Linked DNA regions of Elephas maximus indicus. The protein of the gene in region 1 purifies or fractionates together with the protein of each later gene. This does not show direct contact. Links are inferred from orthologs where the notes say so. Each region holds a gene or a part of one and is shown in the gene's direction. Other genes may lie near its edges. The genes, in order: DERL1 and SERPINA1.

Region 1 (15,878 bases):
ACCTTCAAAATTGTATCCTGTAAAGATGGCCTATTTCAAAGACCTCCCTGGGCTAGGGGCTGTGGGGTCATGGGATGTTGAGAATATCTTCCACAGAACTGAATAATTATTCCTGATTTATAGACTCCTAATTTTTTTTTTTTTTTTTTACTATAGGGTCGCTGGAGCCCTGGTGGCACAGTGATTAAGAGATTGGCTGCTAACCCAAAGGTCAGCAGTTCGAATCCACCAGCTGCTCCTTAGAAACCCTATGGAGCAAGTCTACTCTGGTCTTTCAGGTTGCTGTGAGTTGGAATCGACTCGAAGGCAAAGGGTTTGATTTTATTTTTTTGGCTATAGGGTTGCTATGAGTTGGAATCATCTTGACAGCAACGGATTTGGTTTTTTGGAATAGCATTTAAGGAACCCTGGTGGTACAGTGGTTAAGGCTTGGCCGCTAACCAAAGGTCTTCAGTTCGAATCCACCAGCTGCTCCCTGGGAGAAAGATGTGGTGGTCTGCTTCTGTGATAGTTAAGGTTGTGAGTCAACTTGGCTGGGCCATGATTCTCAGTGGTTTGGCACTTAGGATGTAGTTTGGCAGTGGTATAATGATGTGATCGCTTCCATGATAAGACTTGATATAATGTTATCACCTCCATGATGGGATCTACTGCGAGTAGCCAATCAGTTGAAAAGGAGCTTCCTTCAGGGTGTGGCCTACATCCAATGTAGGTGGACTTTCTGGCAAGGCTTGTTGGCTTTTGCTCGCTCTGGATCCTGCAGCTGGCTCCTGTTCGTCTGACCTCCAGTTCTTGGGACTTGAGCTAGCAGCTTATCTGCTATCTTGCCTGTGGATCTTGGGATTTGTCAGTCCTCGAAGCCTGTCAGCCTGAACGCTACTGTCTGACTTGCAGATCTTGGGTTCAGCAGCCTCTGCAGCTATGTGAATCAGGAGGAGCCTCCAGTCTGGCTCACGGACTTGGGACACTCCAGCCTCTACAACTGCATGAGCCATTTCCTTAATATAAATCTCTCTCTACATATATTTATACGCTTTGCTCGTTTTGCTTCTCTAGAGAATCCAGCGTAAGACAGCTTCATTAAAGATTTACATACAGCCTTGGAAAGCCTATGCAGCAGTTTTACTCCGTCCTATAGGGTCACTGAGCTGGAATCGACTTGATGGCAGTGAGTTTGGGTATGGGATAGCATTTATGTGCTCAGAGGACAGGCTATCAATCAAGCATGACAGGATGCTGGTCAAATGCCGCTAATTGCTTTAAGGGAGGAAGACAAACTGAGCTAAGCTTAATTGTCCATTATTCTAGAGCAGCGCAGCATCCTTCTGGTGCCGATCTGGGCAGTGTGTGGAGAGAGGCCACAGATGACCAGCAAAAACAGTGCCTACCAGACCCCTTCTCAGCTAAATTTCATCTCATCTCAACCGGCTTCTTAGTCCCTCCCGTTTCCTACTTGGCAGTAAAACACCATCTTTCCCGAGCATTTTGTTTTGGTTACATAGGGTGCTTTGAAAAATGCTTCAAGGAGTTTTCCACGTGAGGAAAGAGAAAGATAAGATAGGGTAGGTACAATGGGATTATCTATTTAACCTATAGACCTTAGAAGAGTGTTTTCTTTTGTTAGTGAAGCAGCACTTGGAAGCTGGGGCCATCTGCTTAACTCTTTAGAAAATTCTTATATAAAAAAATAGGTGTGCACTTGTTGTGGGATGGAGCAGAGTAATGGAACCAACACTGATGGGACATCTGAACCAGGTATATGTTAGCACCAGATATATGTTAGCTGCCTTTCACTGGATTACTACACAGTTGATTCTTTAGTCTTGCTTGCTTTTGCTTTTAAACCCTATAGAAGTCCTATCTGAATTTTGCATCAAATTGAAACCTCTAATTTATGGGCATGGTGAACATATAGCCCCATATTCATATGTTTTGCCTGTTCACCCCATAAATATGCTTGCACTTATTAGATCTTGGACCCTGACTAGTGGTTTGGAAAATATGGGCAGTATAATTTAAAGGCAGGGGACCCAGAATGCCTAGGTTCATTGGCTCTACCTCTTACCAGTACTATAACCTTGGGCAAAGTATTTAACATTTTTGTGCCATTATTTCTTTGTCCGTAAAATCAGGATAATAACAGCAGCTGCCTTGGAAGAGTTGTGAGGAGTTTAGAATAGCATCAACCACATAGAAGTGCTCAATAAATGTTAGCTGTTAGGAAACCCTGGTGGCGTAGTAGTTTAGTGCTATGGCTGCTAACCAAAGGGAAGGCAATTTGAATTCGCCAGGCGCTCCTTGGAAACTCTGTGGGGCAGTTCTACTCTGTCCTATAGGGTCAGGTCACTAGGAGTCGGAATCGACTTGACGGCACTGGGTTTGGTTTTTGGGGTTTGATTGTTACTATTATTTAAGCCACTCTACAGTGGTGCAGTAGTTAAGTGCTATGGCAGCTAACCAAAAGGTCAGCTGTTCGAATCTACCAGGGGCTCCTTGGAAACTCCATGGGGCAGTTCTACTCTGTCCTATAGGATCGCTATGAGTCAGAATCAGCTTGATGCCAACAAGATGCATGATGACGGAGGCTTAAAGGAGCCCTGGTGGTACAGTGGTTAAGCACTGAGCTGCTATCCAAAAGGTCGGTGGTTCAAACCCAACAGCCACTCCATGGGAGAACGCTGTGGCAGTCTGCTTCCATAAAGATTAAACTGAACCCACCGTCGAGTCGATTCAACTCAGTGACCCTACAGGACAGAGAAGAACTGCCCCATAGTGTTTTCAAGGCTGTTGATCTTTACGGAAGCAGACTGGCACCTCTTTCTTCTGTGGAGCAGCTGGTGGGTTCCTACTTCTGGCCTTTTGGTTATCAGTCAAGTGCTTTGACCACTATGCCCCAGGGCTTGCTTCCGTAAAGATTATAGCCTTGGAAGCCCTGTGGGACAATTTTATCCTGTCCTAGAGGGTTGCTGTGAGTGGAACTGACTGGACAGCAACGGAAAAGAAAGGGAAGCTTATTATTCTTCCATATTTCTTCTTACTAGTGGTATGCTGATCAATGTTTAACAACTGGCTCTCTGGAAAAACAAAAACAAAAAGCAAGCCCTCATTTGTAGCTTTTGGCGATTCTGTGGTGTAAATAGTGTGAGAGTGAAGCAAGATGATGCATGTAAAGCACAACCACCCAAAAAACCAAACCCATTGCCATTGAGTCGGTTCCGACTCAGTAGCCCCATAGGGTTTCCAAGGCTGTAAATCTCTGTGGAAGCAGACTTCCTTATCTTTCTCCCGCGGAGCCACCAGTCATTTCAAACAGTTGACTTTTCAGTTAGCAGTCAATCCTTTCAACACCACCACCAGGGCTCCTTCAAACCAAAAAAACCAAACTTGTTGCCATTGAGTCGATTCCGACTCATAGTGACCCTACAGGACTGAGTAGAACTGCCCCATAGAGTTTCCAAGGAGCACCTGGTGGATTCGAATTGCCGACCTTTTAGTTAGCAGCTGTAGCACTTAACCACTACACCACCAGCATTTCCAGGGCTCCTGAGAGCTTGGTAAATAGTAGATGCTCAATTAAAACAAACAAACAACCTTCATGTAAGAGGGGCAGGTGATACTATTTTCCCATTTGGATGATCAACTGAGAGAAAGAGACTTGTCCATGGTTCCATAACTAGCAACCGTCAGAGGAAGGACTGGAATCCAGACTGATTCCTTACTATATAGAAGGGTATCTTTATGTAGTACATGCATGCATGAGCGCACATGTAGTAAAAGTAACAAATGGAAAATACTTTATATGCTGTTTAGTACACACCCCTCTCTCCTAGCCCAGTGAGTCAAAATTTGAAAAATTTCCCAGGCTTGTGGCTAAAAATACAAGACTAGTTCTGGCGGGTTTGACAGCGATGAGTTATTATTCTTGCCATAGCTTCATCTGCAAGATGGGGCTAATGAACTTGCCTAGTAGCTAGCGTGAGACTTCATTACATATTTGCAGTGTGCTTTGAACTTCTTGAAGAAAGATGCCCTTCCATGGCAGGCATCCCATTAGGACAGTGTTCCTCTGACTATAGTGACAGAACGATGCTTGAGTCATCGGCTCTCTGTCAGCATCACTCAGCAGCCACCCTGCCAAGCGTCAGCACGGGACCATATTGTTCTTTTGACTGTTGGGATCCCTCCAATTCATTTTAAACCCTGTTTTTCAGGGAAACAACAGGAAATACATTTTAATTACAGCAGGAGAACATGATCAAGATCATCTTTTCTCCTTTTCAATCTTTCTGAAGTTTCTGACACTGAACTCCCTCTTTCTGAACAAACTTCCTTTTTACATATCTTTAAAATTAATTTTTAATTAATGTACATAGTACATATGTTGTTGTTGTTAGTTGCTGTCAAGTTGGCTCCAACTCATGGCAACCTTACATATAACATAATGAAATGTTGCCCGGTCCTGTGCCATCTTCATGATCACTGGTATGTTTGAGTCCAGTCAGATAATATTATGTTCTGATCCACAAGATTTTTGTTGGCTAATATTTGGATGTAGATTGCCAGTCCTTTCTTCTTAGTCTTACTGTAGAAACTCCACTGAAACCTGTCCACTGTGGGTGACCTTGCTCCTATTCGAAATACTGGTGGCACAGTTTCCAGCACATAGCAACACACAAGCTACCATGGTATGACAAATTGACAGACAAGTGATGGATAGTACATATATACATAGTACAAAAAAAATTAAAGCAGACAACAAAAGCCCAAACAAAACCCACTGCTGTCGAGTCAATTCCAACTCATAGTGACCCTTTTAGTTAGCAGCTGAACTCTTAGCAACTGCGCCGCCAGGGCTCCTAGCAATCCTTTGGACAGAGTAAAACTGCCCCATAGGGTTTCCAAGACTGTAAATCTTTGTGGAAGCAGGCTGCTACATCTTTCTCTCATGGAGTGGTTGGTGGGTTTGAACTGCCAACCTTTCAGTTCCCTCCCTCATTTTACAGATGAAGAAACTAAGGAACAGAAAGGCTAATTTTCCAACATCACATTGCTAGTAAGCAGTCATGATTTAAACTTTAGTATTTATAAAGCCTGCAGCTGAATTCTGGAAGACTCATTCAAATAAAAATCCACTTATAACCACACCACCTATAAATAAATACTGCTAGACATTTGATGTGTGTGTTGTTTTTGCCTTTTTCCCGTGCACATGTACTTACGAGTTTATCCAAGAAATCTTCTTTGCCATTAACCTATGTTAGATAATCCTTGTTTTACCTTATTGTACTCTGGGTACAACAAGGAGTGGGTACAAGAAAATGGTGGGAGTGGGGTGGGGTACAGAGAAGGAGCCTCAGAAAATATCTCCAAGTATTATGTTATTTATACATCCTTCTAGTTTTTCTTTTATACCAAAATTGTCCTTCTGTAAGGCTGTACCAATTTACATTCCCACCATCTATGCATGAGTGAGGGGTTTCATCATATATTCAATATACTTGATGTTCAGTAGGTCCCTAAATGCTGTATATGCTCATTCAATTGTATTTAGTGCCTTTTCATCCTGCAAACCGAAAGGTTGGCAGTTCAAATCCACCAGGTGCTCCTTGGAAACTCTATGGGGCAGTTCTACTCTGTCCTGGAGGATCGCTATGAGTTGGAATAGACTTGATGGCAAGGGGTTTGGGCTTTTTTTTTAATCCTGTAAAAACCTCTTTGGTTAACTAACATGAAGGACATGGTGCTCAGAGACGTTCTCTAAAATAATAGATTGTCAGAAACTTTGCTGTTTGAAATTACATTTGTGTGAATGGAACATCCTGCACTCTTTCCTTGAGGATCTGTGCCATGCCGGGTCACTTTGACACAGGATTTTCAATTCAGGTGAAAAGCTTTAGATAAGGGGTTTTCAGACCCAACATTCCAAGTTTATCTTAACTTTGAGGTTTCCAAGGAAAGAGGACCTGGCCTCTGTTTCTCAGCTCAGGCCTAAGCCTGATGTTAAACCTTTACACACAGCCCTACTTTGCTTTGAGCCTATCAAAACACTGCTTCATTTCACTAAACTCCACCCTTTCTCATAATAACCCTACTCTCCTTTGGTGAGACGTCCCAGGTTCCTCTGGTATAGTGTCTCCTCTGTTGCAGAGAGTTAATAAATCTAACTTTGTTGACTACAGGCGTGTTCCTGGTAGTCTTTATTGGATGGCCTTATGAATTCTCACCTATAAGCCCTAAATCTGAATACAACAGGAAAAGTTCCTTTTAATATCTTTTTACTGATTGTTTTTTTAAAGCATGAGGTGGACTTTTATCTGCTTGTAATTCGACTCGACGGCACTGGGTTTTAATTTAAATCTTGCCTGATGAAACTAGATTAATTGCCAAGATTATTACTGCTTTCAGTTCTCCCAATACTCCAAGTTAGCTGGACTGGCTGTTTTATCTGCATGGAAAACTCTTTGCCAGGATCTTCACCTGACTGGCTAAGCCTAAATGTCACCTCCTCAGGGAAGTTCGCCCTGACCATTCTCACCTTAAAGTAGCAATCTTTCCCACACCAACTCCACCCCGTCACTCTACCTCATCATCCTATTTTATTTTTCTTATTACTCTCTGAAATTATCTTTTTTCGATTATTGTTTATTATCTGTCCATCCCCGTTGGAATGTAAGCTTCAGGAGAGAAGGTACCAGGACAGCTCTGATAGCCGCAGTATCCCAGTGTCTAGAACCTTGCCTGGCACTTAATAGGTCCTCAGCAAATATTTTTTGAAGAGTGAACAAATGAGGGACAAACTACTTCCTTTTACTCCTTCCCGTTTAAATCACTACCAAGTAGACTCCACTCTCAGGCGAGAAAACTGTCAGGGCCACTGGGCTTCGCCATTGGCTGGAGCATTTGCCGTTGCTTCTGGCAACCACTGTTTCCCACCAGTCGCGTCGAGGCCCCGCCCCTCCCCCCTTCGGCCCGCCCCCTTCGGCCCGCTCCCTTCGGCCCGCCCCCTTCGGCCCGCTCCCAGGACCGCCGAGCCTGGCCACGTCTGAAAAAGCGGCGCTTGCCCTTTAAGCGGCAGGACTTCTCATCACGTCGTCCGCGGCCCCCGGAAGAGGAAGTGTCGCCTGAGAACGCTCCCTCGCTCGTCCGAATTCGGTGGCGCCACGTCCGCCGGTCCCCGCCTTCTGCACGGCGGCTTCGGTGGCTTCCGCCTCGACACCTTCCACTTGCGGAGCCAGCCGAGTCGTGAGGAAGCCGAGGCCGGGAGTTGGGCGATTGTGCTCATCCTGGCGACCTGAGAAGCGAAGATGTCGGACATCGGGGACTGGTTCAGGAGCATCCCGGCCATCACACGCTACTGGTTCGCCGCCACCGTCGCGGTGCCCTTAATCGGCAAACTCGGCCTCATCAGCCCGGCCTACCTCTTCCTCTGGCCCGAAGCTTTCCTCTATCGCTTCCAGGTACTGACCGGCCGGACGGTGGGCAGTGAAGACTACACGTCTCAGGCGGCCCCACGTTGGCGGAGCGTTGGCCGGCGTGTTGCGTGAGCGCGGTGCTTAGTGGGATATGTAGTGCGTAGGGCTCCAGAGGGTTAGGGAGGGTCTCGGGGGTCGGGGTCGGGAGGCATAGGGGTCGGCAGCCAGGGCCTGAGTAGCTGGCGACGTGAGCTTTGCCCAGGTGAGAAGGGGCCGATCTCACCCTTATATTAAAGTTGTGGTTTCCGTCCTCTGTGCTCAGGGAATGAGGCAGTGACAAGTTAAGTCAGTAAGTTATGTTTGTCAGTGTATAGGACGCTGTTGGAACCTTTAAGAGCCGTGGCTAGCAGCCTGGGTCCACTTGAAGCAGGTGCCCTCTCACCTCCCTCTGCCACCATGTGGGTGACGTGTGAGTGTCAAATAATTTAGCGAACATTGCGCTGCGCTCTTTTGACGTTAATGGAGGTTTGTTTGTTTTTTCTCTCCTGTAGGAGGGATTTAAGGTCAGAGGTGCAGAGAATGAGTTTATTTACTTGCGGTTTTCCCCTAGGCACTAACCTAGTATCTGGTCTGTAGTAGGTAAATGCATGAAGGAATGAGTAAAGAGTAAATTGCCCCAGAAATGGAAGATACTGTACTATTGTTACTTTGAATATGAAGGAAGGAGTCCAAGGTGATTACTTGGCAAAGGAATGCTCATTGCCTGAGCGTTATCTATATTCACTGGGTCCTATGGTTTAAATTTTAATTAGTGGCAGGTCAGGTACCAGGATCTGACATTAATTAATTAATTTGCAGGGCTTTGAACCGGTGCTTCTGGTTTGAACCCCTGCTGAAAATTTGCATTTCTAACAAGTTCCCAGGAAGTTGTGCATAAGAATCACCTGGGGATCTTGTTAAGAAATCTGGATTCTCATTCAGTATCTCTGGGGTGGAAATGCAAATTCTCAGCAAGGGATCGATCAGAGCTAACCAGTTCGAAGCCCTGATTATTTGGCCTGTGGGTAATACTCTGTTGGCTTCCCTCTCTTCACTGGCTATTATTTTAAAGTCTTTTTTTCTGATTCCTCATCTTCCTAACCTTTAAATGTTGTGATGTGCCCCAAAGATCAGTTATAGGACCTCTTTTCTACACGCTCTCCCTAGGTGATCTTGTTCAGCCTTGTCTTTAGCTGCTGTCTGTAAACTGAAGACTGCTGGATACCAATACAAGTATCTTCAGCCCAGATCTATCTCCTGATTTCTAGACTTGTACATTCCAACCGTCTGTTTGAAATCACCACTTGGGTGTCTGATAGGCATCTCAAACTTAACATGTCCAAAACTGAATCCCCCACTCCCGTCATCCTAGAAGTAAATAGCAACTCCATTATTACAGGAGCTCAAGCTAATAGCAGTTTTGGGATCACCCCTGATTTTTCTTTCCCTTCTACTCCACAGTCTGTCAGGAAATCCTGTTGACTGCCTTGGACATATATCCAGAATACAATCTCTTCTCACTTTGCATTGTAAACCATTATCATCTTCCAGCTTTGTTCCTTTCAATTGTTTCTCCAAATTGCTAGAGTGAGCCTTTAAAAATATAAATCGAGTCCTGCCAAGCCTCTGCTCAGAACCCTCCAGTGTCTTCTCAACTCTGAGTGAAATCCAGGTCCTTTCAGTGGCCTATAAGGCCCCCCACTGCCTCTCTGACCTCATCTACCACTACTCTCTACCTTGTACATCAGTTTCTACAGTGACATCCTTGCTGTTCCTTCAGCTCCAACTCCATCCCTCCTCAGGGCCTTTGCACATGTTTCTCTGCCTAAAGAAAGGTAACCATGGTTTACTCATTTACCTTCTTACTTCTGGTCTCTTTCCAAATGTTACTTATGGGTGATGCCTTCTCTGATTGTCCTACAGAAAATAGCACCCCTCCTTCACTCTATCTACCTTACTCTTAATTTTTCTTGCTATATATCACCATTGGTATTTATCGGTGTGCTTTCCCTAAGAGAAGAAGGCTCCATGCGAGCCAGATCTTTGTCTTGTTTACCACTGTCTTTGTCACCTAAAATAGTGCCTGGCACATAGCAGGTGCTACTGGTTGAATGCATGGAAATAATTGGTCATCTGCTATGTGCTGGCCACTGGGGATACAATAGTGACTAGGATAGGAAAGGTCCCAGCTCCCGTGAAGAAAATAAGAGTGAGGCATGTGATAGGGGGTGACTTAAAGGGTGTAATATTTAATAGGGTGGTCCAGAAAGGCCTTAGAGAAGATATTTAAACTGAAACTTGAATGACATGAGGCAGCCTTGGAAAAATTTGGCTCTGGGGACAACCTTGCAGGAAGAAGCCTGTGAAAGGCTTAGGGGCAGGAACAATGAACAGAAAGACTGTAGCCAGTGCAGATACTGTAGAAATGAGGAGTGGGAGATAAGGACAGGGAGATAGTCAGAGGTGAATGCAGTGAAGTGAAGACAGAAAGTTAGTCTGGGGCCAGATCATGTGGAGCTTTGCGGCCTTGTTGTTGTTATCGTCGGTTGCCGTGGAGCCGGCTCCACCTCAAGTACAAGAGAATGAAAGGATACTGAGTCCTGCATCATCTTCATGATGGTTGGTATGCTCGAGTCCATTGTTACGGCCACTGTGTATTTTGAGGGCCTTCCAGCGCCTATCTTCCAGCACTATATTGGCAATATTCTGTTGTGATCCATAGGGTTTTCATTGATTAATATTCAAAAGTAGATCACCAGGCCTCTCTTCCTAGTCTGTCTCAGTCTGGAAGCTCTACTGAAACATGCCATCATGGGTGACCCTGCTGGTATTTGAAATACTGGTGGCCTAACTTCCAGTGTCATAGCAGCGTACAAGCCACCACAGTACCACAAACTGACACACGGGTGGTGGAGGCTGTGTTAAGGGTTTAGAACTTTATTTTCAGGACACTGGGAAGCCTTTGCAGCCTTTTGAAGAAAGGACTGACAAGACCTTGAGTACTCTGTGGGATGGATGTGGTGTGTAGGGGGACAGGGTGAAAGCGGGGATAGTAGCCCACCATGGTTTGTATGTGAGGAGGACAGCTAGGTAATGGAATCAGAGATGAATTAAGTTAGTAGGCAAGAGAGATGGTGGTTTGGACCATAGAAGTGGATAGATTTGGGAGTCGGAGTGGACAAGATTGCTCGCTGGATTGGATATGAAGGGTAAAAGGGTGAAGGAAACAGGATTCGCAGATGTCATTAAGTGTTTATACAGAAGTAGCTGAGTGAATGGTGTAGCCATTTCCTGAGATTGGGAATGTTTAGGAACCCTTAGGTTTGGGGAGAGGTGTGGACAAAGAGTTAGGTTTTAGGCGTGTTAACTCTGAGATGTAGTTGTGTTCGTTTTATTGTAGTAAAAATAATATAACAAAACATTCGCCAATTCAACCTTTTTTCCATGTTCAATTCAGTGACATGGATTACATTCATCATGTTGTGTTACCCTGTTTTATAGACAGCTGCTCTTTCAGTTTCTATTTCGGTACGTCAGAGATGGTTCTAGGCTATCTTGCTTAACTCCTTTGCGTAGTAGCTACCAAACCACATAGCTAAGTGTGCAGTAGGACATTTTTGAAGATGATTTCTTCCAAATCAGTCGTAGGAAATTAGAGTAGACAGAACCATCACCACTGTTTGTTCCCAGATTATTCCGTCATCCTTAACAGAAACTTGGTGCCCCGTAAGCAGTGGCTCCCCCCTCCACCCCACCCTCCCACCCCTAGTAACCACTAGGAAACTTTGGTCTCTGAGGTGCTTGTAGGCGCTTGGATATAAGAACGTGATTCTGGGTGGCAGCCAGAATCGCACTGCAGAATTTTCTCCTGTGATTTGCTTTAGTAAATACTTGTTGACTGAGTGAAAGTTTTGTACTTTGTGCCTGGTGACATGTTGGGTAATGTGTGTCACGGGGAGCAATGATAAATTGTTTTGTGAGAAGGACCTGGTCAAAACTTGGCTGTTTGACCCTCCTTGCAAAATCTTGCTCACTTGTGTAGTCCATTTACTAAAATAAGTAACAGAAGAAAGCCTTTCTGATAGGGGGCAGATGCATAGTGTCAAAGGGGGTCAACTGACTCATTATCTTTAGAAAGAGTCATCATTCATGTCACCCTGCCGGGATTTTTCTGCCCTCCTTGCACTGTTTCTTCTGGCCTTGTTATCTTGAGACTGAAGCTGCTGGCAGGAGGCAGGAGCAGTGCACTGACTGCCCAGGTACGAAAAGACACTATCTTTTACCAGGGTTTCCAGTTTGAACCCCTGCTGAGAATTTGCATTTCCATCCCTGATATACTGAATCAAAATCGATATTAAGATTCCCTAGGTGATTCTTATCTGTAACAAATTTTCGGAACCTCTGCTGTACTAGTGGTTCTCGGAGTTAGTTCCTAACCAGCAGCCTGGGAACCTGTTAGAAATGCAAATTATCAGTGGGGTTCTATCCAGAACGAACCGAACAGGGTTCAAAGCCCTGATATACCGTGTGTCTTCCTCTTGCTCCTCTGGCTCCTACCTATGCCAGACACGTTTAGCTTTCGGATCCACCTGAAGGGACTCTTTGCTAATGAAGCAGTTGAGGAAAGACTGTATCTGAGAGAGGCTGACAGGCAAAGACAAGCTGTGTTGGGCTTTAGCAGCATTTCTGCCAGAGGCTTATTTTTTCTTTAGAAGCTGAATCTTTAATAAAGACCTTGGAATCTTTATAGACCTTCTTGCACTTAAAAAAAAAAAAAAAAAAATTGTGATGGTTGGGTTGATTTAGAATTGTAGATTTGTGTTAGAAGTGACAGATGTAATTTTTCCACCTTATTTATAGCTTCCCTGTGAGTCACTTACTGGTTTGGAACTCCAGAGTTTAAAATGTGCTTTCCTTAGTTTGGATAAGCCAGAACATCTAGGCGTATGTTAAGACTCACTACACCACTGTCCAGAATTTCTTTTTCTCTCTTCCTAATCCCTCAGACTTAAACCCATCAGTTAAGTAGTTCACAGTGATGAAATGTCTTCATAGTGGTCCCTGATGAACTAGTAGAAAGGCGGCAGTTTCCTGCTACTTACTATCTTCTGGAGTTATGTCTCCCAGGTTATTGCCTACCTGGCAATATTTCTTCATTTCTTTGAACAAAATAACGTCGCCCTGTACATCTGTATTGTGCTTCTCCGTGTCTTACCTCATTCAGCTCTCACAAACATCCTAGGTAGATGTTACCCTACTTTATAGACAGCTGCAGTTTCAGTTTCTATTTCAGTGAGACGAGGCTAGTTCTAGGCTATCTTGTTTAACGCATTTGCATAATATATACCAAACCACATAGCTAAGTGTACGGTAGAACAGTTTTGAAGATGATTTCTTCCAGATCAGTCATAGGAAATTACTTTTCCTTTTCTGTTAGACAGGCTGTGAGTTTTCAGGTAATTGAGCCATGATCTCAAGGCCTGGCTGAGCCTTCAGCTAGTTATGTGCCCTTAAAAACCAAAAACCCACTGCTGTTGAGTTGATCCCTATTCATAGTGACCCTGTAGGACAGAGTAGAACTGCCCCATAGAGTTTCTAAGGCTGTGAATCTTTTCTTTTTCTTTTTCTTATCGTGCTTTAGGTGAAAGTTTACTGCTGAAGTTAGTTTCTCATACAAAAATTTATACACACATTGTTATGTAGGCCTGGTTGCTATTCCTATAATGTGATTGCACATTCCTCCTTTCCACCCTGGATTTCCCGTCTCCATTTGCCCAGCTCCTATCTCTTTCTGCCTTCACATCTCACCTCCAGACAGGAGCTTCTCATTTAGTCTCATGTATCTACTTGAACTAAGAAGCACACTCGTTATGAGTATCATTTTGTGTCTTATACTCCTGTCTATTCTTTGAAGAGTTGGCTTCAGAAATGGTTTTTGTTCTGCGTTAACAGAGAGTCTGGGGGCCTTGTCTTCTGGGGTTCTTCAGTCTCAGTCAGATCATTAAGTCTAGTCTTTTTAGTAGAATTTGAGTTCTGCACCTCAGTTTTCTCTTCTTTCAGGGACTATCTGTTGTATTCCCTGTCAGGGTAATCCTTGGTGGTAGACAGATACCATCTAGTTCTTCTGGTCTCAGGCTCATGGAGTCTCTGATTTATGTAGCCTCTTTTGTCTCTTGGGCTAATATTTTCCTTGTGTCTTTGGCTTTCTTCATTCTCCATTGCTCCAGGTACATTGGGACCAATTGATGCATCTTAGATGGCTGCTTGCTAGCTTTTAAGACGCTAGACACCACTCACCAAAGTGAGATGCAGAACATTTTCTTAATAAACTTTGTTATGCCATTTGACCTAAATGTCCCCCAAAACCATAGTCTGCAGACCCCTCCCCAGCTACTCGTCCCTCTAAGTGTTTTGTTGTATTGAGGAAATTTCTTAGCTTTGGATTTAGCCCAGTGCTGCTGACTTCCCCTGTATGATGTGTTGTCCTTCCCTTCACCTAAGGTGATTCTTGTCTACTATCTAGTTAGTGAATGCCCTTCTCCCTCCCTCCCCACCCTCATGACCATCAAAGAATGTTTTCTTTTGTTGTTTAAACCTTTTCTTGAGTTCTTACAATAGTGGTCTCATATAATATTTGTTCTTTTGTGACTGACTAATTTCACTCAGCATAATGCCTTCCTAATTCATCCATGTTATGAGGTGTTTCATGGATTCATCGTTGTTGTTCATCATTGTGCAGTATTCCATTGTGTGACTATACCATAATTTATCTGTTTGTTGATCGATGTATAGGTTATTTCCATCTTTTTGCTATTGTGGACAGTGCAGCAGTGAACATGGGTGTGCATATATGTATTCATGTGAGGGCTCTTATTTCTCTAGGATATATTCCAGGGAGTGGGATTGCTGCATCGTGTGGTAGTTCTATTTCTAGCTTTTTTAAGGAGGTGCCAAATCGATTTCCAAAGTGGTTGTACCACTATACTTTCCCACCAGCAGTGTATAAGTGTTCCAGCCTCTCCACAACCTCGACAACATTTATTGTTTTGTGTTTTTTTGAATTAACGCTACCCTTGTTGGGGTGAGATGGTATCTCATTGCAGTTTAGATTTGCATTTCTCTAATGGCTAATGATCGTGAGCATTTCCTCATGTATCTGTTATAAGGCTGTAAATCTTTAGGGAAGCAGACTGCCACATCTTTCTCCTTTGGAGCGGCTGGTGGGTTCAAACTGCTGACCTTTTGGTTAGCAGCCAAGCACTTTAACCACTGCGCCACCAGGGCTCCTTGTGTGCCCTAAGGCAAGTTATTTATCCTTTCCAAGCCTCAATTTTTTCACCTGAAAAATGGGGATAAAATACCATATTAATTCTGTTGTAAGATTCCATTGATTCATATGATGCTCCATGAGTTTAATACAGCTCTTCAGGGGAAAGGAAGGCAGAAATTACATTAAATGAGCGCATTGGCTATAAGACACATCTTACTTTTAGAAACACAAAAATGTGTACCTTCAAATTGAGTAAATACGTTATCTGCCTCACGCCTCTATTATATTGAAGACATAGAAAAACGTTTGTAAAGTGACCAGTAAGTAGCCTGGTATACAGACTATTCAAATAGAGTGTTCTTTTTGTTTTTTTTTTTTTAAATCAACCAACAATTCCTACCGTTAGTGCTTTCCCTCCATGGACAGTAAAATTCTAATTTGCAATTGAAATGGAAAAATGTTACTGCTAGAGTAGTAATCTTATTTTACTTTTTGTCCCCCAGAAAGCATCGCAACTAGAAATGGAAAGATGTGAATACCCAAGTTTCCTAATTTATTTCCAGGAGTAATAAGAAATGGCACCAGCCAAATGTGTTAATCAGCCAGGTGCCTACATTTGCCAAACTTTTGCGTGTATTACCACATTTAACCTGATGACAGCTACCTTAGCAGATGTAAGAGTGTGTTGAGGAAGACGGACGGTATACACACATAACAGGAAGAGGCTGAGCGTGGAAGTAGCCTTGAGATTTGGATTTAGAACTTCAGTGGTTGGTATTTTGGTATAAACAGCTTTGAAATCTTTCCTTAGCAGTCCTGTCCACATTAGACAATTCTGCTGTGGTCTGTAGATGAGGCTGCTCATGAGTTCGTGGCTTTGGTTTCGAACTTTGTATTGAGTTACAGTATATAAACAGGAAATGTATATATTACAAATTTAAAGCTTGTTGAATTTTCAGAAGCTCAGCTCACTTCTATAACCAGCATCCAGATCAAGACACATCACCGCACCACCAAAAGCTTCCTCCTGCTCCTCTGATCACTTCCCCCTCTCAGGGTAACTACTGTCCTCACCTAATAATGTAGATGGTTTTTGCCCCTTTTTGTACTTTGCGTAAATGGAATTGTACAGTATGTACTTTTTTGTATCTACCCTC
Region 2 (16,531 bases), on another chromosome or scaffold:
CCCAGACAGAGCCCCAGAGGTGGCCGCGGGAGGGTGGAAGGAGGGAGCAGGGGAGCTGATGCAATCCCTGTCCTTGGGTGGGAGGGATGAATTTCATCACCACCGGCAGCTCCAGCCCCCACCCTGCAGTCCTCCAGTGATGCATTCCTCTTGTCTCCTCGGGACGGGGTGAGGGGGCTGGATTTTGAGTGGTGGTGGGAGCCCGGGGTGGGCTTGCCTGCGGTTTGTCAGCCTCTGGGTGAGGTGTGTGGAGACACAGTCGGGATGAGCCTGAGGGGGGCCACAGAAAACTTTCAGTGTCAGGCTAAGCAGCTGAGACTTCAGTCTGAGAGCGACAGAAAGCCAGTGAGGAGGCTCAAGCTGGCTTTCTCCAGTAGCGCTCCTCCCGTGCCAGGGAAAACAAAAAAAAACAAACCCGTTGCCGCCGAGCAGATTTCAACTCATAGCTACCTATAGTACAGAGTAGAACCGCCCGTAGAGTTTCCAAGGAGTGCCTGGTGGACTTGAACTGCCAGCCTTTTGGTTAGCAGCCATAGCTCTTAACTACTACACCACCAGGGTTTCATCTGTGCCAGCGAAGGTGGGTGTCAAAATGGTGTGGCAGAGCCCAGACAGGAAACACAACAGAGTCCCTGATGGAGCAGGAGAAAAGTGAGGTGCAGAACTCAAATTCTAGTAAAAAGACCAGACTTAATGGTCTGACTGAGACTGGAGGAACCCCGGAAGACATGGCCTCTGGACTCCCTGTTAGCCCAAAGCTGAAGCCATTCTCGAAGTCAACTCTTCAGACAAAGATTAGACTGGACTGTAAGACATAAAATGATGCTTGTGAAGAGAGTGCTTCTTAGCTCAAGTAGATACATGAGACTAAATGGGCAGCTCCTGTCTGGAGATGAGATGAGAACCCAAAACAGGGACAGGAGCTAGTTGAAAGCACATGGGAAATCTGGGGTGAAAAGGAGGAAGGTGCTGTCACATTATAGGGAGAGCAACTAGGGTCACATAATATCAATGTACAAATTTTTGTATGAGAAACTGAACTGTAAACTTTCACTTAATGCACAATAAAAAAAAAAAAAATTGCGTGGAGAGGCCTCTGACCTCCTCTCCGTTCACAAGGGGGAAGGAGAATCAAGATCAACAGCCCAAGGCAGATTCCTATGAGGCGGAAGTCAGACGCGCCTCCTCTCTCTGCCATCTTTACCAATTCTGACACCAACCGTCCCTCCCACGGCACTCTCTGCTTCTCTGCTGGGTTCGATAATTCATTGCAATGGCCACACAGAACTCACAGACAATACTCAACATTATGAGGTTTATTAGGGAAGTAACAGGTCATAATTCAGGTTCAGGAACACTCAGGATACAGTCTTCCATCAGGACGGCCTCTTCTCAGCCATGCCCGCAGGCACGCCTCTCTGACCCTAGGCCTCTGCCTTGCTCGGCCAAGTGTTACAAAGCTCTTTTAGCTCTGCCACTCAGTGCCCAGAGGCATCCCACCCTGCCAGGAACCCTCAGCCAGAAGGTACCCAGCTCTAGCTCCATGGGTAGGCAAACCTAGCTCCACCAAGTGCCTGGAGACGCCCTACTCTGCCAGCAAGGCTTCTGCCTGAAGGCACTCAGCCTTCTTGCTCCATGGGCCAGGAAGCCCAATGCTCTGTCTGCTGCCAGTTACTGCCCATCTCCTGCCTCACCACCATTTCTCTGCTGCTGCTTCTCACTGCCTTTGGCGTTACAGCTCTCCCTGTCTTGGTCTCCTGGTTCCAGGAGCTTCTCAGCACAGGGATCCTGGATCCTTTGGGACATGCTCCACTCCTAGCTTTTCTTTCTTGGTGGTAGTGAGATCCACTCCTCCTGCCTCTGCGATGGCTCATTGTAAGCCTAGTGGGATGGGTAAACTGACCAATCCCTTTGTCAGGGTTCCATACACCTTATTTGCATAGTCCCATTCAATCACTGTGTGTAAGTCACAAAGACTATGGCTAAAAGGGCCATATTAAGCAATTCATTGCACTGCAGCAGGGCATGGAGAGTGGTTAGGCCGGCCTAAGTTAGAGTTTTGCTGGGTGGGCACAAAGGAAAAACGAAAGCGAGTCAAGGATTGTATTAGTTTCCTCTTGCTACTGTAACAAGCACCACAAAATTAGTTGCTTAAAACAACACAAGTTTATTCTCTTACAGTCCTGAGGGTCAGAAATCTGAACTCAAAGTGTTGGAAAGACTCATTCTTTCTGAAGGCTTTAGGTGCGAGTCAATGTCCTTCATTCTTCCAGCTTCCAGAGGCCATCTGTGTTCCTTGGCTCATGACCCCTTCCTGAATGACTCTGATGCCTGCGTCTGTCCTTGCATTTCTTCTCTGACTCTGGCCCTTCCGTCTCCTGTATAAGCAGCCTTGTGATTACATTGGACACGCCTGGATAATCCAGGCTAGTCTCCCCATTTCAAGATCCTAAAAGTTATCACATCTACAAAGCCCATCTTGCCATGTAAGGTAAGACATTCACAGGTCCCAGGAATTAGTATGTGAACATCTTCATATAATGGGGACATTATTGTGGCTACCAAAAAGGTATTGCCAGGAGAGTGGCCGAAGGGATGGACCATGAGATTTAAGCTGGTCACTCCACACCATTTCCATCTGTCTACTACGGCCCCAGAAGGGCCAAGGGCACGTGGGAGGGAGCAACCAAGATGTGATTTTAGATAAAGAGTTGATATTAGAGGTCTCAGATTGAAGGCCAAGGTGCAGCCATGACCGTCTGTGGTGGGGAAGAGTAAGAAACAAATCTTGGAAATGAGATGGACAGAAGGCAAGAGGCCAGGGGCTTAGAGGGGCACCCATGAGGACACTGAGTGATGCCAGAGAAGACCAGGCCGGGCCCAGGTGCCCATGTCCAGTGATGCTGGGGGTGATCCCACCACCTGTCTGTCAGTTTGTCCCACTGTGGTGGTTTGTGTGTTGCTGTGATGCTGAAAGCCATGCCCAGGTATTTCAAATACCAGCCAAGTTACCATGATGGACATGTTTCAATGGAACTTCCAGACTAAGACAGACTAGGAAGTAAGGCCTCGCAACCTGCTTCGAAAAATCAGCCCATGAGAACCCTTCAGATCACAATAGAACATTGTCTGATGGAGTGCTGGAAAATGAGACCCTCAGGACTGAGCAACATTTTGTTCTGCTGTACATGAGGTCACCAACAACCACAGGGTGTGATGCACAGGCCTGTGGATGTCAGGGGTGAGGTTGGGAGAGCATGGGGCCATCCAGGGAGGCTGTGTAACTGCAGGAAGAGGAGAGGTTGGGAGAGCATGGGGCCATCCAGGGAGGCTGTGTAACTGCAGGAAGAGGAGAGGTTGGGAGCCAGCAGGGAGGCCGGGAGAATCAGACCTGCTCTTGCACCCAGGGAATGGTGCCATTTGCTTGTTCCTGGCATGGGGACATGTGAAGAGAGTCCCTATCCAACGGAGCAGGGAGGGTTGGCAGAAAGAGATCTCAACAGTAAATGAGTCCAGGGAATGTTGGAGAGCAAACAACCCCCACTGGAGAGGACTCGAGGAGAAGCAAGCTTCTCTGGGGGAGTCGGGGCTCACTATCTGTGAGTACACAGGAGGAGGAACAAGGGGTGACAGGGGCCTGAGCCCCAGAACAGAGAGGGGCGACAAGGAGCAGCAACAGGAAAGATGTTATGCAACCCCCCATCCGGCATTTCATCATCTCAGATGCTGCCAGCCAGCTGTGGACCTGCCTTCAGAGAGTTTATTCCTTCCTGGCATAGGGGGTGGTGAGGGGTTGGAAAGAGATCCTATCCAAGGAGGTGGGAAGGATGGACAGAAAGAGACCTGAACAGGGAGTTCAGAGATCTGATTCCAGCCCCAACACCTTCCTGGCTCTCACCCCATATGTCAGCCCTCCGACCTGTCATCCATCTTTCTGCCCCTGCCTCCTGTTCATCTCTCATATCCACGTCTCCTCCCTCCCCGGATTTCTGGAAGAGCCTCCATGTTCCCCGGCTTGGCCCTCACCAGAGCGTGAGTTCCAGACAGTGGGGACCATGTCTTCTCACCTTTGCAAACCCAGAGCCTAGTGCAGTTGCTGGCACCCAACAGGAGAGCAACACATGATATTTAGAGAGTGAATGAATAAATGAGCAGGTACACTAATAGATGGGTGAATGTAAGGAAGACAGCCCTATGAGCTGATTATAGATGTAGGAAGGAAGGACATGTAGGAAGGAAGGGAAGGCAGGAGGGAGGCAGGTTGGCTGCATTTTCAGCACTGTGGTAGCGGTCTGTGCCTCAGTTTCCCCATCCACACTAAGGGGAGAATAATGGCGCCCACCGCAGGGGATTGCACGTGAATACACATAAAGCATCTAGAACAGAGCCCAGCAGGTAATAAGCACCTGAGAAGCATCAGCTGTGATGCAGGTGATGATAGACCGCACACGGGAACACTTTGGGGATTTGTATTATAAAATGTGAGCAAACAGAAATGCTTAAAGTCAACATGAAGGGAAGTCAACAACGGGGACTGAACCGCTTCAACCCAAGGTCGTGAGGCAAGTTCTAGACGCCCTATCGCTCCCTGTTATCTGAGCCGCCCACACAGGACATGTGCCTCTGAAAAACAAGTCTCAATGTCCTGCTGGGTCTCCATGTTCCCCTCGGGGGTGAGTCCTGTCACCCAGCCCTGCCTGTGCCACCCCTCCCTCTTCCCTTCCAACAGGGTGCCCCAGAGAGGGTCAAGGACAACACTCAATGTCCAGGGGCCGGGAACGGTGAGGATGGGCTGGGACATGGTGCCCTGACTACAAAGCCCGCATGTATGCTCCAGAACGTCGTACAAAGAGCCTGCTGAAAGGAGAACAGAGAAAAATTAAAGGGGCTCCTACTGGCCGAAATATGAAACGGGGAACACCAGAAGGGAAATGATCATGACAGTTAAACAGGACAGGTTGAGTCTCCTAAAAGCTGCGAGTCCATAATGGCACTCAAAGGGTAAAATTACAGTGTTTTATTGTACTTAGGTGCACTGAGTCAGTTCCAACTCATAGCGACCCTGTGTACAACAGAACCAAACACTGCCTGGTCCTGTGCCATCTTCCTGATCATTGTTATGCTCGAGCCCATTGTTGAATCCACTGTGTCAATCCATCTGGTTGAGGGTCTTCCTATTTTTCACTGACCCTCTACTTTATCAAGCATACTGTCCTTCTCCAGGGACTGATCCCTCCTGATAACGTGTTCAAAGTATGTAAGACAGTCTCGCCATCCTTGTTTCTAAGGAGCATTCTGGTTGTACTTCTTCCAAGACAGATTTGTTTATTCTTCTGGCAGTCCATGGTATATTCAGTATTCTTCACCATCACCACAATTCAAAGGCGTCAACTCTTCTTTGGTCTTCCTTATTCATTCTCCTGCTTTCCAAATTACAGTGCAGGAAAGGTTAGTTATAATAGAATGCTTATTTTATTTATTTTACTGAGTGGGGGATGAAACTATAAATGTACGTTTTATTCCTTCTATTAACTATATTGTCCCTTACAACGCACCGATATCTTTATTTTTCTCTATCTGCGTAGGCTGAGGAATGAAAACAAGGAACTCTGAATTTGTCGGATAGTTTCAGAAAGTTCAGAAATTGTACCAAGTATAGGAAGCAGCGCTGGAGGTTGAACACAGGAAGGACCAGGGTCCGCCTGGATGTTGCAAGTTGGCAGGTTCACAAGAGTGCCAGGAGGAGGCGAACCAAGTGTGCAAACGCTCTCCATCCCTGGTAATAGCCCTAGTAATTAAAGTGCGTTCTGAGAAGGCAGCCACGTGTCAACCATGCCGGCACAATTGTTAAATACACACAGGCAGCACCTTAAAGCCACCTGTGAGAAAGAGACTCTTATTGTCCCCATCTTACAGATGAGGATGCTGGGGCTCAGCAAGGCGAAGCAAAGCCCTTCCCCCAGTGAGTCCCAGGCTGCCCGGCTTCCGCTGCCCCAGGCCCACCTGGCTACATTGCACCTCACAGGTGCTCAGGTAGACGCTAGTTGCATCTCCAGGAAGCAACATGAACACAGGCCCCTGGAGAAAGGATGGGTGGCCTTCTCAGATAAGTGGAAGCCTGAATCTGAGGAGGCATCCCTGGTCTAAGAGAGATGCTCCCAAATGGGGACCAAAGGCAGGGGTCTTTCTCCCACTCTCAGGCCTCTGGGATCCACCTGAAATCTTTTCCAGACCAGGGTACATTCCCATAGACCATAACAGCAGTTGGCATTAACTTGGGGCCATGTGCCAAGACTGCCCTAAGGGCTTACATGTTATATAACCCTCGTGGAAGTGAGTGACAGTTCATATGCCCATTTTACAGATGAGGAAACTGAGGCACAGAGAGATTACAAGGCTTGTCTAAGATCATGCAAAAAGAAAGGGGTGGAGTTAAGGCTTGATAGCTTAGCCCCTGAGTCTGTGCTTAACAGACCCTGGAAACGGGAAGGAAATCTGAGAGGGAGGGCATGTGGTGTGTGTGTGTGTGTTGGGTGGGGGGGCAGTACAGGCTGGTTTCCACACTTTCCTGCAAATGGGTTCAGCTCCCCTGAAATCCAGGGGACTCCTGAGCAATCGACGATCCTTGGTCCTTGGTCTACTTGGCCCAGGACCCTTCTTCAGCACACTCCACTCCTCACTTTCCTCCTTGTTGGAGACTCGGCATCTCAGCTCTCAGGCCTCTCCCTATCCTACACAGTGGGGCTCCCATTCCTTTGCAGGGCCCTACTGGAGACCCTGCTTGGTGTAAATAGTAAAGCGCTCAACTATAAACTGAAAGGTTAGTGTTTGAATCTATCCAGAGGTGCCTAGGAAGAACGGCCTGGTGATATAAAAAAAGGTGATATACTTCTGGAAAATCAGCCATTGAAAACCCCTAAGGAGCGCACCTCTGCTCTGACATGCGTGGGGTCGCCGTGAGTCATTGAAAACCCCACGGAGCGCACGTCTGCTCTGACCTCTGCTCTGACATGCGTGGGGCTGCCCCGAGTCACTGACAACCCCACGGAGCGCACGTCTGCTCTGACCTCTGCTCTGACGTGCGTGGGGCCGTCGTGAGTCACTGAAAACCCCACGGAGCGCACGTCTGCTCTGACCTCTGCTCTGATGTGCGTGGGGCCGCCCGGAGTCACTGACAACCCCACGGAGCGCACGTCTGCTCTGACCTCTGCTCTGACGTGCGTGGGGTCGCCGCAAGTCAGAACAGACTCGACAGCAACTGGTTTTGTTTTGCTTTTTATGTTTTTACGGAGGGGCAGAGTCTCCCCAAATATCCGTCTCCAACCTATCCACACGATTTCCCGTGGTGCGGTCGTGCCCGGGGAACCCACCCAGGCGATGCCACAGGCAATTCCAGAAGGGACCCAGAGAACAAGATTCTCTCCCCCACCCCCTGCCCCATGGCCTCTGGGTCACGGGGTACAGTGTCCTTCGGTATTGGCCACTAACGCCTCCGTGTACTCTGTCCTTGTTCATTTTCCCAAATCACCCCACTCCTTCTTCTCAGGATGGGTACCCAGAGTCACTTCTGCAGCATAAAACACTAGGGGGAGAGTGGGAGTGAGGATGGGGAGATGAGGAAGCGCTGGGGATACAGCCCGGGACCCCTCACTCTCCCCTGCTCTTTCCTCATTCCTTCTGTAAATGTCCCCCCATCTGCCATCTCTCCTGCTCCTGCCAGGCTCTGTGATACACTCCTCTCCCCTGCCACACACCCATCACAGCCTCCAGGGGGCTCCCATGAGCATTTCAGGGGTGCCTCCGCCCTCTTCCCTCTGCAGCTGACCCAGGCACCTGCCAGATACCCTGTTCTAGGCCCTGAGCCAGGAGGGTGATGCCTGTCATCTCCATTAATCCCGAGCGGGTGTGGTCAGCCCTCTTACAGAGGCCCAGACCAGCCGGTAAGTCTTCCTGGGCCACAATGCTGGACCAACAGGGCAGCTGATAACGCGCAGGCCTGCCCAGGCTGAGAAGGGTGGGTCTGGCATCCACCTGGCAATGACAGCTTTGTGCAAGGCAGCATCCTGCCCCTGTGCCTCCACCCTCCCAGACCCGTGGCCTCCACTGCCACCGCAGCCTCCTTCCTCCTGGCCAGCAGACACTCACGACTTCCCCACACCAGCTGTGGAGGAAGAGGGATTGGACCACTGCAGGAGGCGCGTCATGCCCGCCAGGAATTCAAGGTACAGGGGGTGGTACCCTCTAGCCAGTCCCCAGGCCCCCTGGGGAAGGGCGCGGGGGGGGGTGCCTGCCAAGAGACCATTGCCCATCCAATACAAGAGTTGGGAGGGGCAGCTGGGCTTCGAGGTTGTACAGATGGGGAAACTGAGGCCCACAGAGGGGCAGAAGCTTACCAAGAAGGTATTGAAGGCACATCTCTCCAAGATGTGACGGGATATAAAATCCTGGGGGGATGCCCACTTGGCTAGATCAGGGGACAGCAGAAACACTGAAGCCAGGTGACAAAGCTGGGGGGTCCTTGCCTCTCTGAACCTCAGTTTCCCACTTCTGTAAAGGCAGGGGTACACACCACCTCCAGGGGTACTGTGAGTACTGAATGAGAGAATGCCTGGCATGGGGTCCAGCTTCCTGGAAGAAAGTTCTTAGAATGTCCCCCACCTCTAGTCAACCCCAAGACTCTCCACCCCACGACCACCTCGAGACGTCCCACCCCACCAGTCACCCCAATGCCCCCCATCCCACCAACCACCCCGATGTCCCCCACCCCACCAGTCACCCTGAGGCCCCTCACCCCACCAGTCGTCCTGAGGCTCCCGACTTCACCAGCTACTCTGAGGGCCCCACCCTATAAGCCACTCCGATGCCCCCACCCCACCGGTCACCTTGAGGCCTTCCCTGAGCACCAGCAGCAGGGTTTGTGGGTAAGGCAGCAGGGAGACCCTCCACACTGGGCAAGGATTAAGTGGGAGCCCTGGTCAGCATCAGAGAAGGCCTATTGTGCACATGTGACACTTGGCCCCGGGCTCAGCTTGAATGGCTACATTTAATCCTCACACTGCCCAGTCAGGTAGACACTGTCCTGGTTCCCATTCTACAGATGGGGAAACTGAGGCATGGGAAGGTTAAACAATGTACTTCAGGTCTCACAACCAGCGGAACCATATCCCCATTTTACAGATGAGGAAACAAGCACAGAGAGGCCCAGCGGCTTATCTGTGACCACTCAAAAAGGGAGGGGTGGAGTTAAGGCTTCAACCCACATAGCTTAGCCCCCAGGGGCTCAGCATTCAAACCCTGCCAACCTGGCTCTGACTCCCTGGTCTGAATGTTTTTGCTAGAGACAGAACCCCAAGGGGAAGGCAAAGTGGAGACTGAGGGAAGGAGAGAAGGAACAATGACACAGTCATCCATTAGCTCAGCAAATGTCTGCTTAGTGTGCTTAGTGCCACGGTGCCAGACTCAGGTGCACACGGACAGAGCAGAGCAGCTCCCGCGCGGAGCGTGTGTACAGAGATCAGCCACGAGTGTCGAGGGGTCCTCAAGTGTCTCCACGGTGCAAGCGCAAAGGGAGGGGGGCAGAGTGGGGGTGTGGGGTGATGGGTGCTGGCTTATTCAAAGGGAAAAACCTTTGTGACCGGGGGAGGTTTGAGTGCAGGTTTGAGCAGAGGCCTGAAAGAAGTGGGGGAAAAGTGTGCAGGCAAGGGGAACAGCCAGTGAAAATGCTCTGAGGCTGGAGCAGGCCTGAGAGGCTCCAGGGACAGCAAGGAGGCTGGCATGGCTGGAGCAGAGTGAGCATGGGAGAGGGTGCCAGGAGGTGAGTCGGAGAGGAAGGGGGCTCCTGGAGGTGTGGGCCACTGGGAAGGACTTGGGCTTTTTTCTCTGTGCAAGACAGGAGCCATGAAGCGTTTGCACAAGGTGCGATGTGATCTGACTTAGGTTTTTCAAGGGATTACAAGCAAGTGGAGCTGAGACTGGGGCTGGGGTCCTTCCGGTCTTACCCCCTAACACTCTCCCAACCACCATAGGGCACCCAAGGGCCTGCAATAGCCCCAGGGCTGAGCCACATTCCCAAGGAAATGGGAGCAGTCTCTGGGTGGCACAAACAGTTAAGAGCTTGACTATTAACCAAAAAATTGATGGTTCCAACCCACCTAGAGGGGCCTTGGAAGACAGCCCTGGTGATCTGCTTCTAAAAGGTCACATTTTTCAAAACCCTATGGACCAGTTCTACTCTGCAAGCACGGGGTCGCCATGAGTCGGAATCAACTCGACGGCAACCGGGTATTTTTCGTCTGTGGGTCACGTTGGTCTGCCTTGAATTGGGCCTCCTTCTGCTCAGAGCAGCCTGGAGATAAAGAGCCTACTGTGTGTCAGGGACTTTATATAAGCTGCTTTGTGTGGTCCTGGCAACAACGCTAGGAGGTGGGAGTGCCAACCAGGAGGCAGATAATGCATGAGGCAGATGAAAACACCCCCAGGATCAGAGAGGTGAAGCAGCTTGCCTGAGGCCACACAGCTCTTCGGTGGCAAATCCAGGCAAGAGTTGACCAGGATCAGCCTCACCCCAAAGCCAGGCTATCTTTGCAGATACACTCTGAGACCCCTGGCTGTGCCCACGGGTACCCCACGTCAGACTGATGTGGCCCTGTCAGCCCTGTCCTGCAGACCTGCCCCACCCTCTCCTCAGGGAAATCGCGAGCCTCTTTGTATCTGACGCTGGCTTGGTGACTTTGGATGAGTGGCCTCTCCTCTCTGGGTCTCAGTTTCCCCATCTGTCAAATGGGCTAATAACATGCTCTGACACCCAGGGCAGCAGTGAATCTTCAGCCCCAGGCGTTTGGAGGTGGCTGGCTAAATGGCAGCTCCTGCTCTCCGAGGACAGGGCAGCCACCAGGATTCAGAGCGGGGGCGTGGGGCTGGCAGAGCGGTGCTGTCCCAGGAGTCCCTGACTCATCCCACCCCACCTCAGACACAGCTGGTTTATGAGCTGAGAACAATGATCCTCTGTGGTGTGTGAAGTGGAGGGCTGTGCACTGCCCAGGTTGAGCCCATGTGCCTCGGTGCCTGGCCAACGGACTTTGTCCCTGTTTGCTCCTCTGATAACTGTGGTGACCTTGGTTAATAATCACTAGCAGCCTCCCCCCACTTGCCCCTCAGCGCCCACTGCTTAAATACAGACGAGCACAGGGCTCTGTCTCCTCAGCCTTGGTCAACACCTGGCCCTGGGACAGTGAGTCGTGAGTATGCCTTCTAATGGGGAGAGCCTCCAGGCGGGTGAGGGGATAGCCAGAGGCCCCAGGAGGATGGAGCTGGCTGGGTCTAGGCCCCCTGTCGCCATAGCAATAGCAGCCCTGGGGGGGCTCCCCCATACCTACCAGTGAATGAGCAGGCAGATGTGGAAGTGGGTGCTGGCTCCGCTGTCTGGGGACCCCAGGAAGGGCGAGGGCCAAGCTACAGCGGCAATGACAGTGAGAGCAGGCGTTTGTCTGCACAGCTCCGGCGCCTTTCAGGGTTACCTCCTTTTAGCCTCTCAGCCTCCCAGTGCTTGGCCACCATCCTCCTCCTCTTCTACAGATGAGGCGCTAAGGTGCAGAGAGGGGCAGTGCTGAGCCCAGGTCACTAGGGACCTGGGCCAGGAGCCTACCTGTCATCCAGGTCTCCATCATCTCCAGACATGCCTGAGAAACAGTACTGCGCTAGCCTGGGCCTGCAGGCATCGGTATGGGTCTCCCCCAGGCACGGGGGCCGCTGGGCACCCCTCAGGCACGGGAACATTGGCACGGGATGCCATCGTCAGGACTCCAGCTAACCTTTCTGAGTGCTTATTCTGGGTCTGGCAGCTGCTGAGCTCGGTGCAAAAATTAGCCAATTTTATCCTCACAACAACCCTCTGAAGTGGCTACTGTGATTATTCCCACTTTATGGATGAGGAAATTGAGGACAGGGAGGTTAAGAACTTGCCTCAAATCACACCCTGTTTGGGATTCAAACTCAGGCCGCCTAGCTCCTGACCCGGCCGCACTGCCAGCATGCTTCTCAGGCACAAGCTGGGGAACCAGAGCCTCGTCTATCCCTGGGGCCTCTCCAATGCTCAGTGACCTTTGACAGTTGCTCAACCGCCCTGTCCTCTTGTACAAAACGTAGATAACCTTTGCCCTCCCTCCCCTACACCTCTGCCCTCACTTGGCCCTGATCTCTGAGTGTTGAAAGGATTTGATTTTTCTGCCGTTGGTTTTTGGAGTTGGGCTACAAAGATGACCAAGGCCAGGCAGGCCAGGCTCCCCTATAACGCCTGGGAAAGGTCCACGGCAACACCCAAGGCTTCTTGAGGGCCTCCTGAGTGCCTGGCACTTCTCAGCTCTCAGTGCGTATTTAAACTGCACAACCAGCCTGTGAGGGGGGCGTACTCTTACCGTCTCCGCTTCACAGACCAGGAAGCGGAGGTTCAGAGAGGTTGAGGGACTTGTCCAAGGTCACATAGCTAATAGCCAGTTGAACTCAGGCAATCCACTGTCAGAGCCTCTGATCTCAGCCACTAAGCAATGCTGCCTCCCTTCATTTAGAGGGACCACCTCGGAGGTTTTCCTGTTTCAAGGCCCTTTGCTTCAGCTTTGCACATAAAGATTTCCGGTTGCTGTGGGGTGGATTCCAACTCATGGCAACCCCAAGTGTGTCGGAGTAGAACTGTGTGCCATAGAGTTTTCAATGGCTAGCTTTTTGGAGTTAGATCTCCAGGTCTTTCCTCCGAGGCACCTCTAAGAGAGTGTACTTGAACCTCCAACCTTTCAGTTAGCATCCCAGAACTTTAACTGTTTGTACTATACAGGGACTCCAACTTTGTACACAGAACCCAGTGCAGTCAAGTCAATTCTGACTGCACAGAGAAGGGTTAAAAGTAGCTAAATAAGGTTCGGGAACCCAAATGCCTAGGTTAAATCCCGGTTCCGTAAACTCCTAGCTCAGTGGTTTTCAGTCAGCTCTTTTGACCTCTTTATGCCTCAATTTCTCCATCTATAAAACGGGGCTAATAATAATCCCCACTTCACAGAGTAAGCTTTGAGGGGAGATTGAAGGAATCAATGAGCATAAGACAACAGTCTTAGTTATCTGTTGTAGTTGTTAGGTGCCGTCATGTTGGTTCCGACTCATAGTGACCCTGTGTACAACAGAACAATACACTGCCCAGTCCTGAGCCATCCTCACAATCGTTGCTATGCTTGAGCCCATTGTTGCAGCCACTGTTATCAATCCATCTCGTTGAGGGTCTTCCTCTTTTTCTCTGACCTTCTACCTTACCAAGCATGATGTTCTTCTCCAGGGGCTGGTCCCGCCTGATAACAAGTTCAAAGTATGTAATACAGAGTCTCGCCAGCCTCACATTCTGGCTGTACTTATTCTAAGGCAGATTTGTTCATTCTTCTGGCAGTCCATGGTATATTCAGTATTCTTTGCCAACACCATAAATCAAAGGCATCAATTCTTCTTCAGTCTTTTATTCATTGTCCAGCTTTCACATGTGTATGAGGCTATTGAAAACACCATGGTTTAGGTCAGGCGTGCCGTAGTCCTTAAAGTGCCATCTTGGCTTTTTTTAAAACTTTAAAGAGGTCTTTTGCAGCAGATTTGCCCAATGCAATGCATCGTTTGATTTCTTGGCTGCTGCTTCCATGGGCATTGATTGTGGATCCAAATAAAATGAAGTCCTTTAGTTATCTACTACTGCTACAACAGAAAGTTGTCTAGTGGTGCTGTAACACCAGCAGATGGCTTTAACAGACTGAAGGTTATTCTCTGACAGTCTAGGAAGCTATGAGTCTGAATTCAGGGCACCAGCTTCAGGGGAAGGCTTTCTTTCTCTGTCAGCTGTAGGGGAAGGTACTTGTCATCAATCTTCCCCTGGTCTAGGAGCTTCTCAGCACAGGAACCCAGGTCCAAAGGATGTGCTGTGCTCCTGGTTCATCTTTCTTGGTGGCAGGAAGCCTCTCTCCTCTCTGCTCACCCCTCTCTTTTTATATCTCAGAAGAGATTGACTCAAGATGCAAGCTAATCTTGCAGATTGAGTCCTGCCTCATTAACATAACTGCCTCTAATCCAGCCTCATTAACATCATAGAAGCGGGATTTACAACACATAGGAAAATCACAGAAGATGACAAAATGGTGGACGACCACATAATACTGGGAATCATGGCCTCGCCAAGCTGAGACGCATTTTGGGGGGCACAATTCAATCCATGACAGCATCTCATGTTTAAGAAGTACAGTCATGTTGATGGCAATTCTGAGGTTTGCTTAGTGTAGGGTTAGATAACTAATAAACAAATACTTGGAGAAATAAATATAAAGTTTTCCAAACAGAGACACAGTTCATTGCTGAGTAGGGGCCCCCTCTCTGAAACTGGCCAGGGAGAAGTCTGCCAGTTATCCAGGGGACAGGAAACCAGGCTCAGAGAGGTGAAATCACTTGCTCAAGGTCACATAACCAATAAGTACAGGGCTGGGCCATACCCAGGCTTATCAATGCCAAGGGCCTTGGTCTCCTAGGGCTGCCGTGTAACAAAATACCACAAGGTGGGGGGCTTTAAGGAACAGAGATTTACTTTCTCATAGTTCTGGAGGCCAGAAGTCCAAATCAGGGTCTGAGCTGTGTCGGCTCCTTCTGTGAGCCTCTTTCCAGTTTTCTGGTGGCTGCTGGCAATCCTTGGTGTTCCTTTGTGGCTCACAGAGACATGGTGTCTATCTCTCCCTACGTGTCACTCCCTTTTTATAAGACACCTCTCAAAAAGAATTAGACTAGGACCCACCCTCCTCTGCAGTGACCTCCTTTGACTCACAGATAACAAAGGAAAGGCCCTGTTTCAAACCAGGGCACAATCACAGTGTTAAGACTTCAGCGTATCTTTCTGGGACACATATGAACCTAAACCACCAGGTTTCAGCAGGTTTGGACCTTCTGCCTCAGTCGTGTCCCTGGACCCTGCCTCATCTCTCTTGGTCACTCAAGTCATGCTCCTGGGTGGAAGTAGTGTGAAATTGGGCAAAGGTGTCACACTCTTCACTCTCCCCTGTCCCCTCTGGCTTGGATACCAGCAAGCTCACTGTCAGACCCCATTCTCTTGGTTGGATGTCTGGCCCAGTGTCGGCACATCTCTGGGTGCTTCACCAACAACTCTCTCACCTCTGCTGGCCTCTCCAGTCCCAGGGTTTGGGGCCCTCCACTGGGGCTGCTTGTTCTGATGGCTGGGCGTGGAGGCAGCAGAAGCCTTGGGCCCCGGCGGTTGTAAAGAACAGACTGAGAGGCCCAACAAACCTGCAGCAGAAGGTCTAGTTAACATGGGGCCCAGCTGTGACTTGGGCAGAATCAGAGACTGAGCCATGGCCATCTCCCTCTGCAGCCAGAGCAGTGGGGAAACCAGGGCTCCTTCCAGTTTCTTCACGGATGCATTCTCCCTGGGCCTCAGCCCCTGCCTTTCCCTGGGCCTCAGCCCCTGCCTTTCTCTGGGCCTCAGCCCCTGCCCCCATCTGAGTCTCAGCCCCTGCCCCTCCTTGGGCCTCAGTCCCCACCCCTCCCTGGGCCTCAGCCCCTGTCCCTCCCTGGGCCTCAGCCCCTGCCCCCCTCTGAGTCTCAGCCCCTGCCCCTCCCTGGGCCTCAGTCCCCACCCCTCCCTGGGCCTCAGCCCCTGCCCCTCCCTGGGCCTCAGCCCCTGCCCCTCCCTGGGCCTCAGCCCCTGCCCCTCCCTGGGCCTCAGCCCCTTCATCACAAAAGGAGGACCTAGAGCCCATATAAGTGGGTGAGGGCGCCTGTGTTCACTGGTTGCACCCACCCCACCCCATCTCACCTTCTAGAGGTCAGCAGGGATACCTCCCTTGTCCATCCCCATGGAAATTTCCAGTCTCAGCTTTGCTCCGCCAAGCCCAGAAGGTACCTCTGAGAATCCAAGGTTAGCACCACTGAGGGGGCCCCCTTTGTATAGTCAAGGGCAGTGAGGCCTCAGAACAAAAGGATGCTTGTCCAGGGCCAGTGGACAGTAGTGGCCCTGTTAGGGCTGGAGGAGCCAGCCTCTGGCCCCGAGCCCCTTCAATGTACTTAGTGTCCCCACCCTGCCTAGGCCCAAGCCACTTCCGATCTCAGAGCCTTGAAAATTTCCATAAACTCTGAAGGACTGGACCCAAATCCAGCTGGGAAGTAAGAGAGAACACTGAGGGAGGTAGAAATATACAGAATTAATTTTAGCACCATCTCCAGCTCTGAAGTTTAAGAAAATATAAACAGGTATTATGTAAGGTTTGGTCTGCTCCATTTGGATTATTTAGAGGCATGAAGGCCAGAGAAAAGGTGGTGGAGGGAAGCCAGCTTTGGGCTTTATTTTGTTGTTATATTGGGAAGAAACTGTTGAAAGTTTGCAGAGGGGGGTGAGACCCAAGTTTTGTATTTCCCAGCTTTTTCCTTTCCAGTTTTCATATCCCAAATTCAAGGACTCCTTTCTCTTTGTATTTTATTACGATGTTGATTTTAGTTATGCAAGGTCTGT

Evidence for each region.
Region 2: the proteins of DERL1 (region 1) and SERPINA1 purify together in Homo sapiens (affinity purification with western blotting; 4 studies listed by BioGRID). This does not show direct contact. The link is inferred for Elephas maximus indicus from reciprocal best matches to the Homo sapiens genes DERL1 and SERPINA1.

Annotation. Positions count from the first base shown.
Region 1 is NC_064833.1:19,713,756-19,729,633, forward strand, and holds the start of DERL1 (derlin-1), read left to right. Parts: upstream 1-7,066; 5' UTR 7,067-7,304; coding exon 7,305-7,457; intron 7,458-15,878. UniProt on the Homo sapiens protein: Functional component of endoplasmic reticulum-associated degradation (ERAD) for misfolded lumenal proteins. Forms homotetramers which encircle a large channel traversing the endoplasmic reticulum (ER) membrane.
Region 2 is NC_064828.1:107,949,401-107,965,931, reverse strand, and holds the start of SERPINA1 (alpha-1-antitrypsin), read left to right. Parts: upstream 1-7,885; 5' UTR 7,886-8,037; coding exon 8,038-8,222; intron 8,223-11,213; exon of another isoform or gene 11,214-11,237; intron 11,238-16,531.